2 linked regions of the Drosophila melanogaster genome follow. The protein of the gene in region 2 interacts with the protein of the main gene of each other region in a pairwise test. Each region holds a gene or a part of one and is shown on either strand. Other genes may lie near its edges.

Region 1 (6,812 bases), on a different chromosome or scaffold from region 2:
TTCCAAAGCCATTTATTATTAAAACGGAGTCCCTGTTTGTGCAAGAACAGCGAGTGTACAAAATGGAGCCCCAGGATGTACAAGAATTTTCACCTGGTACGGAGCCGCTGGATGACCAAACTTATGATAGCGATTAAAGTGTGTAGAATTCTACCACGGAAATGAAAAAAAATGAAAATGCAAATTATTATAATTATTATTCATAAAGAATTGTTATTAGCCTAAAATATGATTCTAATTACGAGCTACCGACATTCTCATAGTTTAATTATACCTGTATTACTAGATGCGTTGAAAAGTATGGAACAGGCAGAAGGAAGCGATTGCGATCATATACATTTGTCTATACATTTTTGATCAGGATCAATAGCCGAGTCGATCTGGCCATGTCCGTCTGTATTGATCTCATTTTGCCACGCCCACACTTTTGAAAAATGCTTAGATTTTTCTTCGTGCAAAAAAAAACACTAGCCACGCGCCTCCTTTTGCTACAATACGCCCAAAACGGTCACGACTATTTTATTCCCCAGTATCTATCGATATCCCAGAAAAATGATGAAATGTTCCCTTTGGCATTCCCACTAGCTGAGTAACGGGTATCTGATAGTCGGGGAACTCGACTATACCATTTTCTATTGTTTTTAAATTCAAAATAAAACAGTCAAGCACCAAGGTGCCACCTCTCGGTTGACATTGCAACTACGCAGAGCTAAGGTGACCAGTCGTCTTGCAATCTGGCAGCCCTATAACAGAAGTGTTCCAAAGTGTCACGCTATCGCGTGCTAACCAACACTAATCTGTTGCTTCGCATTAAAAATTTTTGCTTGACTTGACAGGTTCGTAGAAAAGTCGCAGAAGAAAAAGCTGTTCCGTCGGAATTAAGGCAGCCACTATGTCGTATCAACTGTACCGCAACACCACGCTCGGCAACACCCTGCAGGAGAGCCTCGACGAGCTGATTCAGGTGAGTTCGCGCTGGCGAAGTGAAACGCATTGTAATTTTGGGCTTCCATATTGCAGTACGGCCAGATTACGCCCGGACTGGCTTTCAAGGTTCTGCTGCAATTCGACAAGAGCATCAACAATGCCCTAAACCAGCGGGTCAAGGCCCGCGTCACCTTCAAGGCTGGAAAACTAAACACCTACCGCTTCTGCGACAATGTCTGGACTCTCATGCTTAACGATGTGGAGTTCCGCGAAGTGCACGAGATCGTCAAGGTGGACAAGGTGAAGATCGTGGCCTGCGACGGCAAGAGCGGCGAGTTCTGAACACCACCGACCCGATCTGAACACCCAATGTAACCCCACTAAACACACCATGTAACCCCACAAAACACACCATTATAACCATTACAAATAGCTGTAAGATTCGTAGGCGATAAGCTGGGTTGGAAAACGAAAACCGACCGTGCGATGCAGCAGGCATTGCAAGAAATACACTGTTAATTCACAGTTCACCGAGTCGAGTATGTTTGTTATGTATTCCGTTAAAAAAAAGGGAGTTCTTGGAAACATGAGGTGGGTATGCAAATAATTGCGTTACAAAAATCTGTAGGGCACAAAAGGGTTCTTTAATGCCATTACCAAATAGTAATGCAAAATATGTGTACGTGTGAAAACATTTATTTATTATTTGCTAATAATTGTAGTTCATTTAGTTTGAGCACTTTACAGAGCTCTGTTAGTCAGCTAATGGTGAGTGACCTCGCTAGATAGCAGTGATATGTTATTTTGGTATTTTTTAGTCACACTTTTTGGTGTAGCCATTTCGAGTGGGCTCGCTAGCCTCGCGACCTGCAGTCACACTTGCTCCAACGAACAAAAACCACCGCCCGCATAACCACGCATCGTTATTTGTTGTTGTCTACGCCGTTTAATCGCTGACAATTAACAACAAAACAATAACAGGAACGGCAGGCACTGCCTTCACTTTAAGAGAAGCCCGCGAATCGAAACTGCCAGGCGATCGAAGTCGAGGCGATTTTAAATCGAAAACGCGCGCGAGATGCGGAAAAGCCAAACGCCGCGAGCTTTGTTTATGTGTATCGGAAAATAACATAAGAAAATCCCTTAGATTCTTTGTGCGGATGAGCCAGTGCGAAAGCAATATCAATAATATCCCAAGCAGATTGCTGAATAAATCGCATTCGAGAGGTAAAAATGCAAAACGAAGTGTGATTTTGAAGAGTGTGCCTAGTGTGTGCTGCGAAGTGACTAAGCGCCGCAAAGAAAGTGGAAAAGCGGAAAAGCGGAGCTAGCGGTGGTTGGGGAGGCGAGAAGTGGGCAAGGGAAAAATCTAAAGTGCATTTATATTGCGTGCTAATCTCCGCCGTTTTCCACTGCAGAAACGTGAATATAATTACGGCGAAAGCGGATCAATTTTTCGTGCAGTCAACGAGAAAAGAAAAAAAAAAATTGAAAATAAAACCTTGCGTTGGCGTCGCAGCAGCAGAAAAATTGGAAACAAATTGAGCAGCGCCCTGTGAAATATAAATAAATTTATGTACCCCCTTCCCTTCTAGTTTTGTATGTTTCCAATTGGACTCCTGCTGCGTCTCCATCACTTTAAAAAAATACTTCTCGCCTTCTAGGAAGTAAAAGTTGCGTTGAATAGCAATTAAAATTAATCCATAATATCCGTATCGATTATTTAAAGGTTTGACTAAAAGATCGGCAAAATTAATTTCCGTCGCATTAAAATCTTTACATCAAAACTGGATTATAACAGATCCGTTGATATTGGCACTCAGCAGGAAAACAACTCGGGGGTAACCAACAAAATGGTGAAACGGTAAGTAATCGTCCAATAATCGTAAATGCATTTCAGTTTTATCAGTCAAGCCTATGTATTCTCCGATATCAAGCAATGTCGTTAACCCATTTCGACAGACCAATTAGCGTCTATGTTCGTCACAGGCAGGGTTCTACAGTCAACGCTCCATAAAGCAGATCCATAAATAAACACCAGAGCTATTGCTTAGAATGGGTTTTTTGGAAAGTGAATATAGATTACGATTAACTGTAAGTTCAAGTACAATCTTCGTAAAATTCATTTGGATTTCTTTTCTCTAGCCGAAGTTTCCTGTACTTCGTATTTAGAATGGGGATTTGCGTTGCATTCGCCGCGTCTGGTCGGGTCTATTGAACCCCAAAAGTCTGATAAACAATTTCACATTCTCACCGCATCCATATCGCACAAATTATAACGCAATTTATAATTGTTTTCCTTGTGAGAGGTTTCTGTTTTTTTCTTTTCGGTTTTGTTAATCGCTACTACGTCGCAATGCAAGATAGCTGTTTCTATTTGTGTGCGCATTTTGTCACTGCCTTGCTTTCTTTCCCCCAACTTCATGTTTTCCCACCGAACAGCGGCTCCAACAACAACCTACCCCCAAGCTGGGAAAAACACCCCCTTCAGGGTGCATTTCCATCACCCACCACCGCACCACCGAAATCTTCCTGCTTCAGCACTGAAAACTCAGAACTCCAGAACGCAACGCCGCATAAATTTCGTGTGCGTTTTTCCCCAAACAAAAATAAATTGTAAAAAACAACGCATACAGTAGGCGTGTTTTCAAAACCGGATCTTTAGTACCCTTCTATAAAATTATTCATTCGCCTATTAAGAACTGTAAGTTGCAGTCGGAAAATTAGTAAGTTCAATATAACGTTTAAATCAGGCCTCTTGAGATTTAACGTATAACCATAAAAAGTGATTGATTTCCATGTATAATCGCTCTTCGTTTGATTAGTGTAATTTAATTACTGTTTGAAGTTTAATGTTTTTATCAGTTGTACTTTTCTTTTGCTTGTTTTAATGAAATAAGTTTTTTGATTAAGTGGGATTGTCATAAGTTCAATACCACATTACACACATCAAAGTTAACTATGCAAAAGAGTTTTTAAAGATGTCTGTTTTGTGTTTTATAGAAAGCGCTTAGCTATAGTTTGTCTCTATAAAGGGTATGAAAATCTTTAGCCCACTTAATTCAATTCCTGGGATACCCTTTTTCCAGTTGGGTTAACAGATGATGACTAGTTACCGATAACTGCTTTCTATTCCCCACCATCAAGTTCAAAGTGTTTAGGGAAATGAAAACTTGAGTGAAAAGCTCTCAATGAAAATAAAAAATAACAAAAAAGTAGTGTTGCCAACACGGCGACGGAATGGGAATACCCTTCAACTTCAAACTGAAAGGATACAGCGCCATAACATCGTTGAGATGACAGCAAAATAGAAAAGCGGCATTCGGTTTAACGCATGCGCCCTGACGTCACGACTGCAGCGGCAGCAGCAACAACAACAACAACCACGAACAACGACGACAATATAATGTCCAAGTGGAGTTTGGCTTTGCAATTTGATTTTCTACACGATTTTCAGACTTTTCATCTGGGGGCCCCCAAAATAGCAAAAACAAAAAACATGGCAGCGCCTACATAAATAACTGCATACGTTGCATTCTCTTGCCCGCGCTCTCTTTCTCTCGCTCCCACTTCTTTGGGCTTCTCGCTCTCGCTTGCTTAATTATAGACTTTGTATCTAACAATTTGTATACCCTTACTTGGGTTGCTAAGAATTAATGTGGCTCTTTGTAGTGCTGTATATAAATTTCAGAGATATTAATATATTTCCACGTTGTTTAATAAATTACGGTCTAATAAAAATAAAATAATATAAAATTAACCTACACACATATATTACTGACAGGGTGCAGAGAATTCGGCTTTTCGCACTTAACTTCTCCTCTCGTTTTCCATTACTTTGTCGCGTTGTTTTTCGTGTTCTTGTTTCCTTCTCTGTCTTTCGCTGATGTTGTTGTTGTTGTTGTTCTCCAAGCAGGTTCTTCTTGCTGCATTTTTTACAGTTGTTAGGGTCTTGTTGTTGTTATTCAGTTTTTCTAGATTTTTGGTTTGATGTTTTCGTTGTCGCGCCCCCTCAGCATCATAACCCCCGCCCCTTGGCTGCTTTTCCAGAATTTTCAGGCCTTTTTCCAACTACACTACCTGCTTGCCCCTTTTATCGATATATTTTATCACAGCGGCAGTGGGTCTTATCGATGCTGTCTCGCTCGCACTCGCACACTTCCTGCCGTTTACCTGAGTCCGCGACCTGTTCCCCATGTTGTTGTTTTTGTTATTGTTGTTCCTCTGTGGCTATTCGGGTTCCTTGGTTGTTGTTGTACTTGTTGTTGTGGCTCTGGTGATCGTCTCGCAGGGATTTATGTACAAATCCACACAGCCTTCATGCATATGGCCGTGTCTGTTCTGTTCTGTTTTGTTCGGATCGGTGTTTATTAAATTCCACGACGCTTGCACAGACGCGGGTAGAAATATAGAGTCAGCTCACAGTTTAATAAAATTATTTTTTAAAAAACTTGTTATCTATATTTCTCACGAGTCAACAAATTTCTAGCTATTTAGGTAAAAACAGGATATAACAATTATGAATTCCGATGGTTTATTTTGTATTCTCTTTATCATCTTATCATTACAATGTGATAGGCCTAATTTGTGGCCTACTATCTTGGCCACCGCTGTGCGCTTGCATTTTCAGCTTTCAGTGGCTGCAAGGCGGCCGTTTGCCTTATGCTTGGAAATTTATTTGTCTGCACGCCGATCCCCATTATGTATGTTCATTGGTGTGTGTATGTATGTAGCAATGTACATATGGTTTGTATGGAATAAGTCGCTTCCTTGTATTTCTGTCCATCTCTTTCTTTCATTCATCCATCTGTTTGTTCTTTTTTGGCGATTAAAATTAAAATTTAATTCCGTCATTCTGCAGGCTGTTGTAGTGTGTATGTAGTTGTTGTTGCTTGCTCTTGTCTGGCGGCTGCCATTGCCCCGTTTTTCCATTGAGCTTGGCTTTGTTTTACGGACTTCCTTGTTGTTTTCCCCCACTCCCCTTTTTGCCAGACCACCAAACTGCAATTTTACCACCGCCTGTTGCTGTTGCGCTTAGCAACATTTTGCTTATGTTGCTCATTTGTTAAGTGCTAATTTATTTATGAAATTACCACTCCATACGACACACCATTTCTGGCTGATTCATATACACAAACGCTCGTACAAACATAATTAACTGATATTATTCATGCCCATGACTCCAGTGAATAACGCCGGAATTACTTTGCGGACAAGGGTTGAGAGATTCTCACTTTGAGGTACAAAATAAACCAACTATGTAGGCATTTTTGTTTCATTAAAACATTTTAAAGACTTTAACGAACATCCAAAGATACTGGATATTTTTCTCCAGTATGCAAATGTCTTCAAACTGAAATTTTTGTGGTTTCTATATCTCGCAGCGATTTGAACCCATTTTTTGTTTAACTCCTATGTACTTTAAAGCCGACGAAATAAATATTCTTATCAGGGCGACAGCTGCTGAGCTTATGAAGCTGATAATTTACAACGCCTTTATCATGCAAACGAAGAAATGCCAATTTTAGAAATGGGAGTTTCCCTATTTCAACTCAATTAAATGAATGAAATGTGACACAGTTTAATTTCAGGGGAGTTCCAAATGTAGAGAAGCTTAGAGTGTCAGTGCTATTTGAATTGGAAATTGTTAGCATCCGCCTCAGAATTTCATGCTCGCCTTGACAGTTCTTTAGCTGAAAGCTTAATAAACGAGGATTAACATTTCAGACTGTCTAATGGTTCTATCCCCCTTTCACAGTCTACCTTTTTTTTGGTCATTCTAGACTTACGAGCAAACTCTGGCAGTTTGAGTTACATTCTAAGTTGGCATTAAACCTGTCTCAGCTTTTCTGCTGCTGCATTTTGCATTTGCCCTTGCTTATCAT
Region 2 (8,923 bases):
TCGGGGGCCCTTCGGCAGTGTGTTACTGATAGGAAAGTCTGGAGATGAGCTATATAGAAGCGGGCTCATTCCCTAAATTGGTGTTACTTACATATAAGTAGGATTGATCGAAAACAAAATTATATAGGAAACAACAATTTTCATTTACTTATTCAAGCTTCTGTTCCTGTCAACACGAACGTTTGCAAAATGCATAAATACACGTTTCGAAAACTAATATCTTTCAGTTCAATTCTTTGACCAAGCAATTGATAGGGAAATATGGTTAAAATCGGGAATAGTTTACACAGTAATGCAACGGTTTCTCAAAATTTACAAGGTTCTGTGTGTGTGTAAGGTTTATTGCGTTTTTAAAAAACAAAACTAATTTCATAATATTGAACAGGCCCTCTCTAATTCACACTTTTCTCATTAGCCACACAATCGTTTAAATGCTATTAATTAAGAGGCGTAAAGCACTTACAAATGCAGTGCATATTTATTGCATACTTCACACCATTTTACGCAAATTGTTTTTCCATTTTATCAATTATTGACTAATTCATCGGATTAGATTTCATGCTTGAATGGTATAAAACATCGAATGAGTCACAGGCGATGGTCAATAAAAAGTACCAATTAAGGCAGTTTTTTTGTATTTTTATTATTTTACCAGCAGCTCTTTACTTTACTTTTGAGGCGTTGACAAAAGCTGCTGGCTTCGGTCACCCAGCACACACACACACACACACACTTACACACAGCCACTCCCCACTCCCCTCTTTTCAACTCGATCTATCTGTTGCTGCTGCTGTCGCGCTTAATAAAATTCATTAAAAAAGGAGAAGACCGCCGTCCAACAATAATAATCATAAAGTGAACTCAGTGGAGAGGGGGGTGAAGAGGATGCATGTATTGGGGGAGGGGGAGTAAACACCAATACAGCCACATGCAACATTCAACGCAGAAATAGAGTTGCCATTCCAACTATTTAATTGCTAGTCAAGAAATAGCATTTTTTTTTAATCTTTTGCAAATTATTTGAGAATGAAGTTTTCTGCATTTTCAGAAACCAACTGAAAATATTAAAAATTAAAATTATTATTAAAATACACTTTATTTATGCACACTATTAGATATTATTATACATTTAGGATATACTACACATTTAAGATTAGATAAAATTGTATAGAATCTCTCCGCTTATCATAACTGCATATTGAGGCTTATTATATACACATTGAAATATTGAAATGCACTTGTTACTCGAATCCATCGGGTTTTTACTGTCGGATCTCGACAACACTGAGTTGCAGTCGCTGCCAACTCATTACCGACGGAAACATAATGCTGCCAAAGACGCGAGTCTGGTTCTGGACAGGGATGTGGATGTGGATGTGAGTGGGGACGGGGCTGTGGATTTGGTTGGGACATGGACGGGACTTGGACAGGGCCATCAGCCATCAACCATCATCCACGGGCCATGAGCCGTGGGCCACCCCTTTTAATTCTTCGTTTGTTTTTTTTTTTCGGGAAAAGAAGGCGGCCGAGGAACCCGCAGAAAAGCCAAACCAAATATGAGTCGGGGCAAAAAAAAAAAAAAAAGATGGAAACTGAAAGCGAAAACATGAGAAATATGTTCTTCAGGAATTAATTTACCAAGCACTGCGAATGTTAAATGCCCTACTCCGAGATATAATTCATAATTTATTAGCCGAATAAATATATATTAAATATATTTGGGTTTCAATTTATGCACTTAAAACTCATATGTGGTGGCGTGCTTTAAGATAGATATTAAATCTATAGTGTAAATCCCACACTTAGTCAACCCTAGAAAACCCTATGATTTATTGGTATATTCCTGCATATACACATACATACATAAAAGTACATATGTATGTATGTAGGGTAGCCGATAGCAAACAGTTGAATGCAATGTTGGTCACAGCCTGAATGCATTTCTTTATTTCGGTATGTGTGCGTATTTGTTGTTTTGTATCCGCATCTGTATTTGTATTTGTATTCGTATCTGGTGGATACATTTGATGCCGTCGGCAGCGAAGCCAACAACAACAATTGTGTTCATTGTGCTTAATTAATTTAGTTCAAAGATCAAGCGACCATATTGCTGAACATCGGCTGCAATGCGATTCTTCGCCGGCCTCTGCTCATTTTCATTTTTATTTTCATTTTCATTTTTATTTTTATTTTCATTCTCAGTCTCACTCTCATTCGCCTATTTTTTAAGTCTCTTCCCCGGAATTGTTGTTTTTTCCCCAAAGATGCATCCTCATCTTTTCTTTCTCTATTTGCTCCCGGTTCTGTTTTATATGGATTCCGATTTTTGTAAATATCGGTCGTGTACTATATGGATCTTCAAAACATGATTGCGAGCAGTATTATGAGGAACAGGATTATGAGGATTGGTTTCAAAATTCAATAAGAAATAAGAGAGCTTACGGTTCGTGCTGAAAGTGCAGTTCTCATTTTCATATCGGAATTGCTTGCAATAAAGTGTTGAGCAAAAGTATGTATGTACATATGTATATGCATATCGTAATCGGTTTACGCAACTGTTGTGCATAAATTGAACAGTGTTTAGCATTCATCATGGTTACTTACACAGCTCGATCCACCCGCCCAGCACCGCCCCCTCTGCGGTCCCAGAACCGACCCCAGCCCCCCCCTTTTTTTGCACCCCCTACTCCCAACTCAGCCGAACTGAAAAACAAACTCCCAACCCTCGACAGCACCCCCCCCCCCTTTACCACCCTCCTTCAGGGACCGCACTCGATATGCTTAATTAGGCAACGGGCGTTGAGTATAAAAAGCGTCTTTTGTCGCTGCCACGCCCCACCCTTACCCTCTCACCCCCTCATTAGCCCATGCCACCCCCAACCCTTACACACACACGCACATTCGTGAATGTGGTGGCGCACAGCCAGACAGAGCCACACATGTTGCCCATGTTCCATTACACACATGTGGTTCGGTTTCAGTTCAGTTTTAGGTTTGTTCTGCTCTGCGCTGTTCTGTTCTGTTCTGGGCTTTTGCCTCCCCATCACTGATCTCTGGCCCACACTGGTCAGCATGACATGGGTACGAAGGATAGTTTCAAGCTCGGTTGACATGAGTCATAGTTTCACCGATGATGAATCACAGCTCATAATGGTCCATAGTCATGGTCATAATAATGATCCATAGACTTTGCCTATAAAAGTAAATAACTGTAAGAAATGTATTAGACAAGGCAAGAATTTCTATTGAATCTTATATTAATTTAAAAAGTTTTATTCTAAAGAAACTTATTGATGATATAATTTTGTAAGGCTGGCATATATAGTTAGCATTTATAGTTTTTAAAAATACTGATATATCCTGTAATATATGTATTATATTTCATTTGAATATCTGAAATATTTGAAATTACCCGCTTATAATTCCCAACTTGCTTTTTCATCGGAAGCAACAAAATTTTGTTGCGGGCTTTGGGGGTTAGTGCCCACTTTTGCTGACTAGTGTGGAGTGCTCGAGTTCCCTGGGTGACCGGAGGTCGGCATCGCCATAGCCATAGCCACCGCCACCGACTCGTGGCGTCGACTGCGACTGCGACTGCGACTGCGCGGCGACTGCGACGTCAATCGCTTACGAGGCGGACCGCCACCCAAGAAAATTCTCGGCGGCATCTTGAGTTCAATTTCAGTTGATATTCTGTTAAATTCGCGAACGCGTCGCGCCTGCAGCTCCCGATTTGATGGAGAGCCCCACCTCAAGCCCAATTTCGTAATGCTCCCATTTAAAGCTCGGCTTATCAGTGCTGGCCAAAATCGGTGCTTTTTGTTTTGGTGCTCGGGTTTCGGTATTGAAGCCCACCAAGTGCCTCGATCGATCTACAATAGTTTTAATAATAAAACAGTGCATTTGGGGAAATTGGAGAGAAAGTGAGATAAGCGCTGCGAGATAACGGGACCAATCCCGTTTTATTTGTTCCTTCCTTTCGCCCATAATATGGGTGTGTGTGCTCATGTGTTTCTTGTGAATTACAGTATATTGCTTTTACAATGGCATTCATCGTCATTTATTCATTTGTCGCGCCATCTGAAAATGAACGGCGATGAATCATCGGCATAGGCAAATCAGCGGATTACCCACAATCCACACTGATTGCATTGCTGTCTCCTTGGGGGCTGCACAATTTGGACAGGTTTTATTGACGGGGTCAAGAAGGTCTCGATCGAATGCCCAAAAGTATGCAAGTTTATCACCAAGGCGCCCGAAAAACCAAAGTTTTGCGGTTTTGTTTTTTTTGTATTTGAGGAATCAAACTATAAACTGTGTATTTTGCCAGTGTTTGAAGTTAAACTTAGTTAATTGGGTTCAACAAAATATATATCATAATCATATTAAAAAATATAATATTCAATTGGTTGTGCTACAGCTATTTTTATAGCTATTTATAACGAAACGGATTTTCTGAATGAAAATTTTTAAAAAAGTATATGAATTCGGTATCAATATATTTTTTCTATGCTATTGCTGCATTTTGGTGATTCGTATCAGTACATAAAAACATTTTATTAATGAAATTTTAACACTTTAAAGTGAATCGCAAGCATTTCTTAAGTCATGAAGGATTTGAAATATATACTTTCAAAATTTCCAAAATGAACAACAAGCCCAGTGATGTCAGGCTTCTAAATAGTTTATTCACTTATTTATTAATAACTATGCTTCAGAACCTTCAGACCCTAGGGATTCAATTTAAGAATTGTTTATTTTGTAGAAAGCTAATTAGTTCAGAGAAATGCTCCTAATGAGACCACAACAATTATATTAGTGAAAACACAGTCAATCAGTTATGAAGAATTCCACAAGCCTTTTGTTTGCTATTAAAATTCAAATAGTTTGGAACAATTAAGTGTATGGCTCTTTGTTAAATTATTTCTCGGATTGTTAATATATCACGCAAGTAATTAATCAAGATTTTCTATTTAAATAAATTCGGTTTCTGTATAATTTGTGTGTTTTTTATCAGAGAAATGAATATCTTATAGAATGTTCTGTAAAATTATCTTTTAAAGGACAACCCAAACATGATTATAAAGAATTGAAAATTAATAATACAGGTTATTGTCCAAGCAAACAAGACAACCATTGACCATTGACCCTGATTCTAGACCAAAGTATGATTAACAACACCGTGAAAACGCTTTTACCTACCAACCAACCAACATTTGTGGTACCTAACGATCCAAATCTGTTGTATTTTGAAATATGGTGGTAGGCTACTCTCGACTGGATTTGAATCAGTTTTATTTAAATGACGCTGTAACAACAATTGGTGGTGTTGGAGAATGCGAAACATGTTTTAAGCACCTAAAACCCCTAACCGGTTTCCCCTTTCCGCCCCAAGCCGATTATGATTAATGGCGGCGATCCTAGATCAAAGAATTACGAATAATACGAAGCCCCCGAAGAAGATTTCAAGATCTACCATCGAGATAAACATGATTTCCCCACTTACGCCGATCGAAAGATTAATGCACGGACCCTCGTTTCTTGGCACCTTAACTCCATTAGGCTCACTCTCGCCTTCCGTTCGGGATAACTGTGCACTTGAAAAAAAAAGATAGAATATACATATATTAATATATGTAAAATGAAATTTTGCATATTTCCGTTTTGGTTTTTCAGTAAGAAGGAATTGTAGAATTCTTGTAATATTTTAAATTCCCAAAATCAGTGGCTACTATTTTTTGCCAGTGTGAACTGAGCACATTCCATATTCCACACACCATGTTCCACATTCCATCTACCTGGCGGCACCTGTGAGGCGTAGGTGAGGAAGTCGACGATCGTTACACAATTCTCGACTGGCCGCCAACCTGTTTCTGTTTCTCCGGGGTTTTCTCTGGGGTTTCTCGCCCCTCTCCGCTCTCTTCACCCAGTCATGGCCATCATTTTGAGTCCGAGGGATAAGGACGGGGGTTACGAGAGGACCGACATGGTTTGGTGGATCGGTTAGTGACTCATCTCCGTATATCAACGAAAAACAAAGCTCAAAAGCAGAAGCAGCACTGTGGAATTCTAGTCAGATGAAATGCATTGGGGTTTTTTTTACTTTAAACATTATTTGCATTTAAGCATCAAATGTTTTAGGGCAAACAAACAATTCATTTTAGAGCTCTAAACTGATTAGTGATAAGTGCTCTGGATCTTTTTGGGCGTGAAATATACAGAGATATTGGGTCTAGTTACACATATATTGAATACAGCAATGGGTTCCAATAATATTTTATCAAAATAGCTAATATATGTAAATATTAGAAGAAATGGTAAAGAAATTCACGATAACAGGGTCATATTATTAAAAGCTGTTTGCAATTAGATTCGAAAAATTCATCCTTTAAATTCCCAGATTTAAAAAAAGTCAAGCCAAAGAATTGTGTTTTGAAGGCAAAGCCGATGGTTTGGAGGAAAACTGAGTGCAGAGTGCAGCGACTTTGGCTGAGATAATGAATATCGCTGATTGCAGTCGGAAGCGGGAGGGAAAGAGACAGAAAGAAAGAAAATGAGGGTAGTGGCATCACTTAAAGAGTTCAAGCCCATTGACTTTTCTCAGTGATTACACTGCGAGAACTAAGGTCGTTTTTGGGGTGTTTCTCAAAAAATAATAGTGAGTAATCGAAGATTACAAGTTATTCAATTCACTCGAGTGAGAAATTTAAGAAGAGCCATTCGAGCATTTCCAAATCGAATTTATGTTAATTAAATACCTTCGCGACATTTCTTTTGCGGTGCACGAAATTCTCTCGATGACAGTGCTCTCACTTACTATCTCTCCAATTGCCCCGCTCGGCGATTATTTTCTCACTTAATAATGAATTACGATGTGACGCAGCGGCGATAAGAGAAAGTAGGGAGGCAGAAGAAGAAATAAAGAAGAGAGATGCCACAGCAGGCGAAGGACATTAACGATAACGTCGGCATGGAGGCGCACATCTACGAGAATCTGCCGGGCCTGACCTCCACCCCCAAAGGTCACCTGAATGCGGAGCTGCGCAAGTATTTTCCGCGCGAGGCGATCTACGAGAATCTTTGTCGGGGTTGCGGCTACGGCGTGTTTGCCGCCCAAGGACGCTACTGCCATTTCTGCCAGTGCATCGTGAGCGGGGGCGTGGTGAGTACACCGCCTCCCCCACCGCCACCGCCCCTTTCGACGATTTCCGGCGAGAGCAGCAACATCTATGAGAACATCTGCGATTTGTGCCGCGGCATTTATAGCGACAACGAGCGGTGCCGGTGTCAAAGGTCAGAGACGCCAGCCAAAGCGCCCGCACCGTCCACACCAACCACACCGCCCACACCACCCACCAAGGTCAAGTCGCGGTCGCTCTTGGGCTACTCCAAGTCCAGTGCGGCGACCTTGACCCGTCTCTTTGGCTCTCTTAAGCAGCTGAACCGTTCGTCGTCGCTGCAGCGCAGGATATTCCCGAGGACACCCACGACTGGCAGTAGCAGCGCTGGCTCCCTGGAGATCATCCACAACGTGGACGAGGTGTTCCGCACCCAGGAGACCTTTGACCTCCAGCGCATTTGCGAACTCAAGCTAGAGCAGCAGCAACTGAAGGGCAGCCAAAGCGATCAGCACATCTACGGCCGCGTAAGAGAGCCCGAAGAGAGCCAGAGCCACAAGAGAGAGCGCAAGAGGCCGCGCGTCTCTCGCATTCGCCTGCTGCAGGACGAAAGCACATCAGGATCCTCATCATTGTATCTCAACGAGAGCATCTGCCAGTGGATGACCTCCCTGAGGCGGCAGGTGCACCACTACGACGAGGGGCCGTGGCAGCAGCCAAAGAGCGTACCAGCGCGCGATCCTTCATCCTCCGCCGAGGAGAGCACGGTCACACTGCGGAGAAGCACGGAGGAGAGTGCAAAGTGTGCGGACGAGCAGGCGAAGTTGGTCAAGGACTTTAAACGAAAGCTGCAGCAGAAGAGAGCGCACAACGTGGAGCCGGAAAGAGAGCAACGGCGCTGCGCCATCACGGCCAACTTTGTGAATGACTATCTGAGCGCACTGGGCGAAGAGAAAGAGGCAGTGCAACATCAACAGGTGGCCGCAATCGAAGAGCACGTCGCAGTCGTCGCAATCGCAATTCAGCCTCAAGTCTCTGTATCTCTCTTGCGCTTGATGCAGAGTCTCGCTCTTTCGGCCAGCTTGCACGTGAGTGTGCGTGGCTTTCTCACCGCCTATGACAAATCGTTCAGCTTGTGGCTGTGGCACCAGCAACAACAACAGCGACAACAACCACCGATCAACGGTTATCGGCGAAGGAGAGCGCGTGACTCAGTTGTTGGCGTTGTGGGGGATTGGCGACGGCGCCTGCCTCTCTTCGCCTTCTCCTTCGCCGGCGGCAACGATCGTTCGGTGGCCTCGGCTTCGGTTTCAGTTTCGCCAGCGATTTCAGAGAGCGTAGACGTGTGTGCTGCTGCTGCGTCGCGACGCCGCGCGAATCGAAGTACGAGGCGAAGAGGGACAGCGATAGTCAGGGAAGAGGGTGTGTGCGGGGGCGAGAGCTCCACTAGCAGTAACAACAGCAAGAAAAACAATAATAATAACAGTAACAACAACAGCGGAGCTTTGATGGCAGCGCCTAAGCCAAATGGCGAGGCAGAGCGCCCCTCAACAAACAGCAACAACAACACCATCAACTGCAGCAGCAACAACAACAATGACAACATCAGCAATAACAACAACAACCATCACACCGTTGACAATGAAAGCGGTATCAACAACAACAAGAATAACGACGGCAACGCCAATTGCAATGTCAATGAACAACAGCAACAACAACAACAGCAGCCAATCACACAGGTCAACACTCATTAATAAAAAGCAAAAACAAAAGCCGCATCAATCAAAGGCAAAATTAAAATGCAC

The links. The genes of interacting proteins can lie anywhere in the genome.
Region 1: the proteins of RhoGAP18B (region 2) and Pli interact in a two-hybrid assay, tested with the Drosophila melanogaster proteins (2 studies listed by BioGRID).

Annotation. Positions count from the first base shown.
Region 1 is NT_033777.3:23,885,036-23,891,847, reverse strand, and holds the start of Pli (pellino), read left to right. Parts: upstream 1-1,795; 5' UTR 1,796-2,154; intron 2,155-2,656; exon of another isoform or gene 2,657-2,728; 5' UTR 2,729-2,780; coding exon 2,781-2,791; intron 2,792-6,812. Other genes in the region: tbrd-1 (testis-specifically expressed bromodomain containing protein-1), read left to right, coding at 1-137; TfIIA-S (Transcription-factor-IIA-S), read left to right, coding at 893-964, 1,021-1,269. UniProt on the Drosophila melanogaster protein: Scaffold protein involved in the Toll signaling pathway via its interaction with pelle/pll kinase.
Region 2 is NC_004354.4:19,152,962-19,161,884, reverse strand, and holds the start of RhoGAP18B (Rho GTPase activating protein at 18B), read left to right. Parts: upstream 1-3,683; 5' UTR 3,684-3,765; intron 3,766-6,883; 5' UTR 6,884-6,931; coding exon 6,932-8,857; intron 8,858-8,923.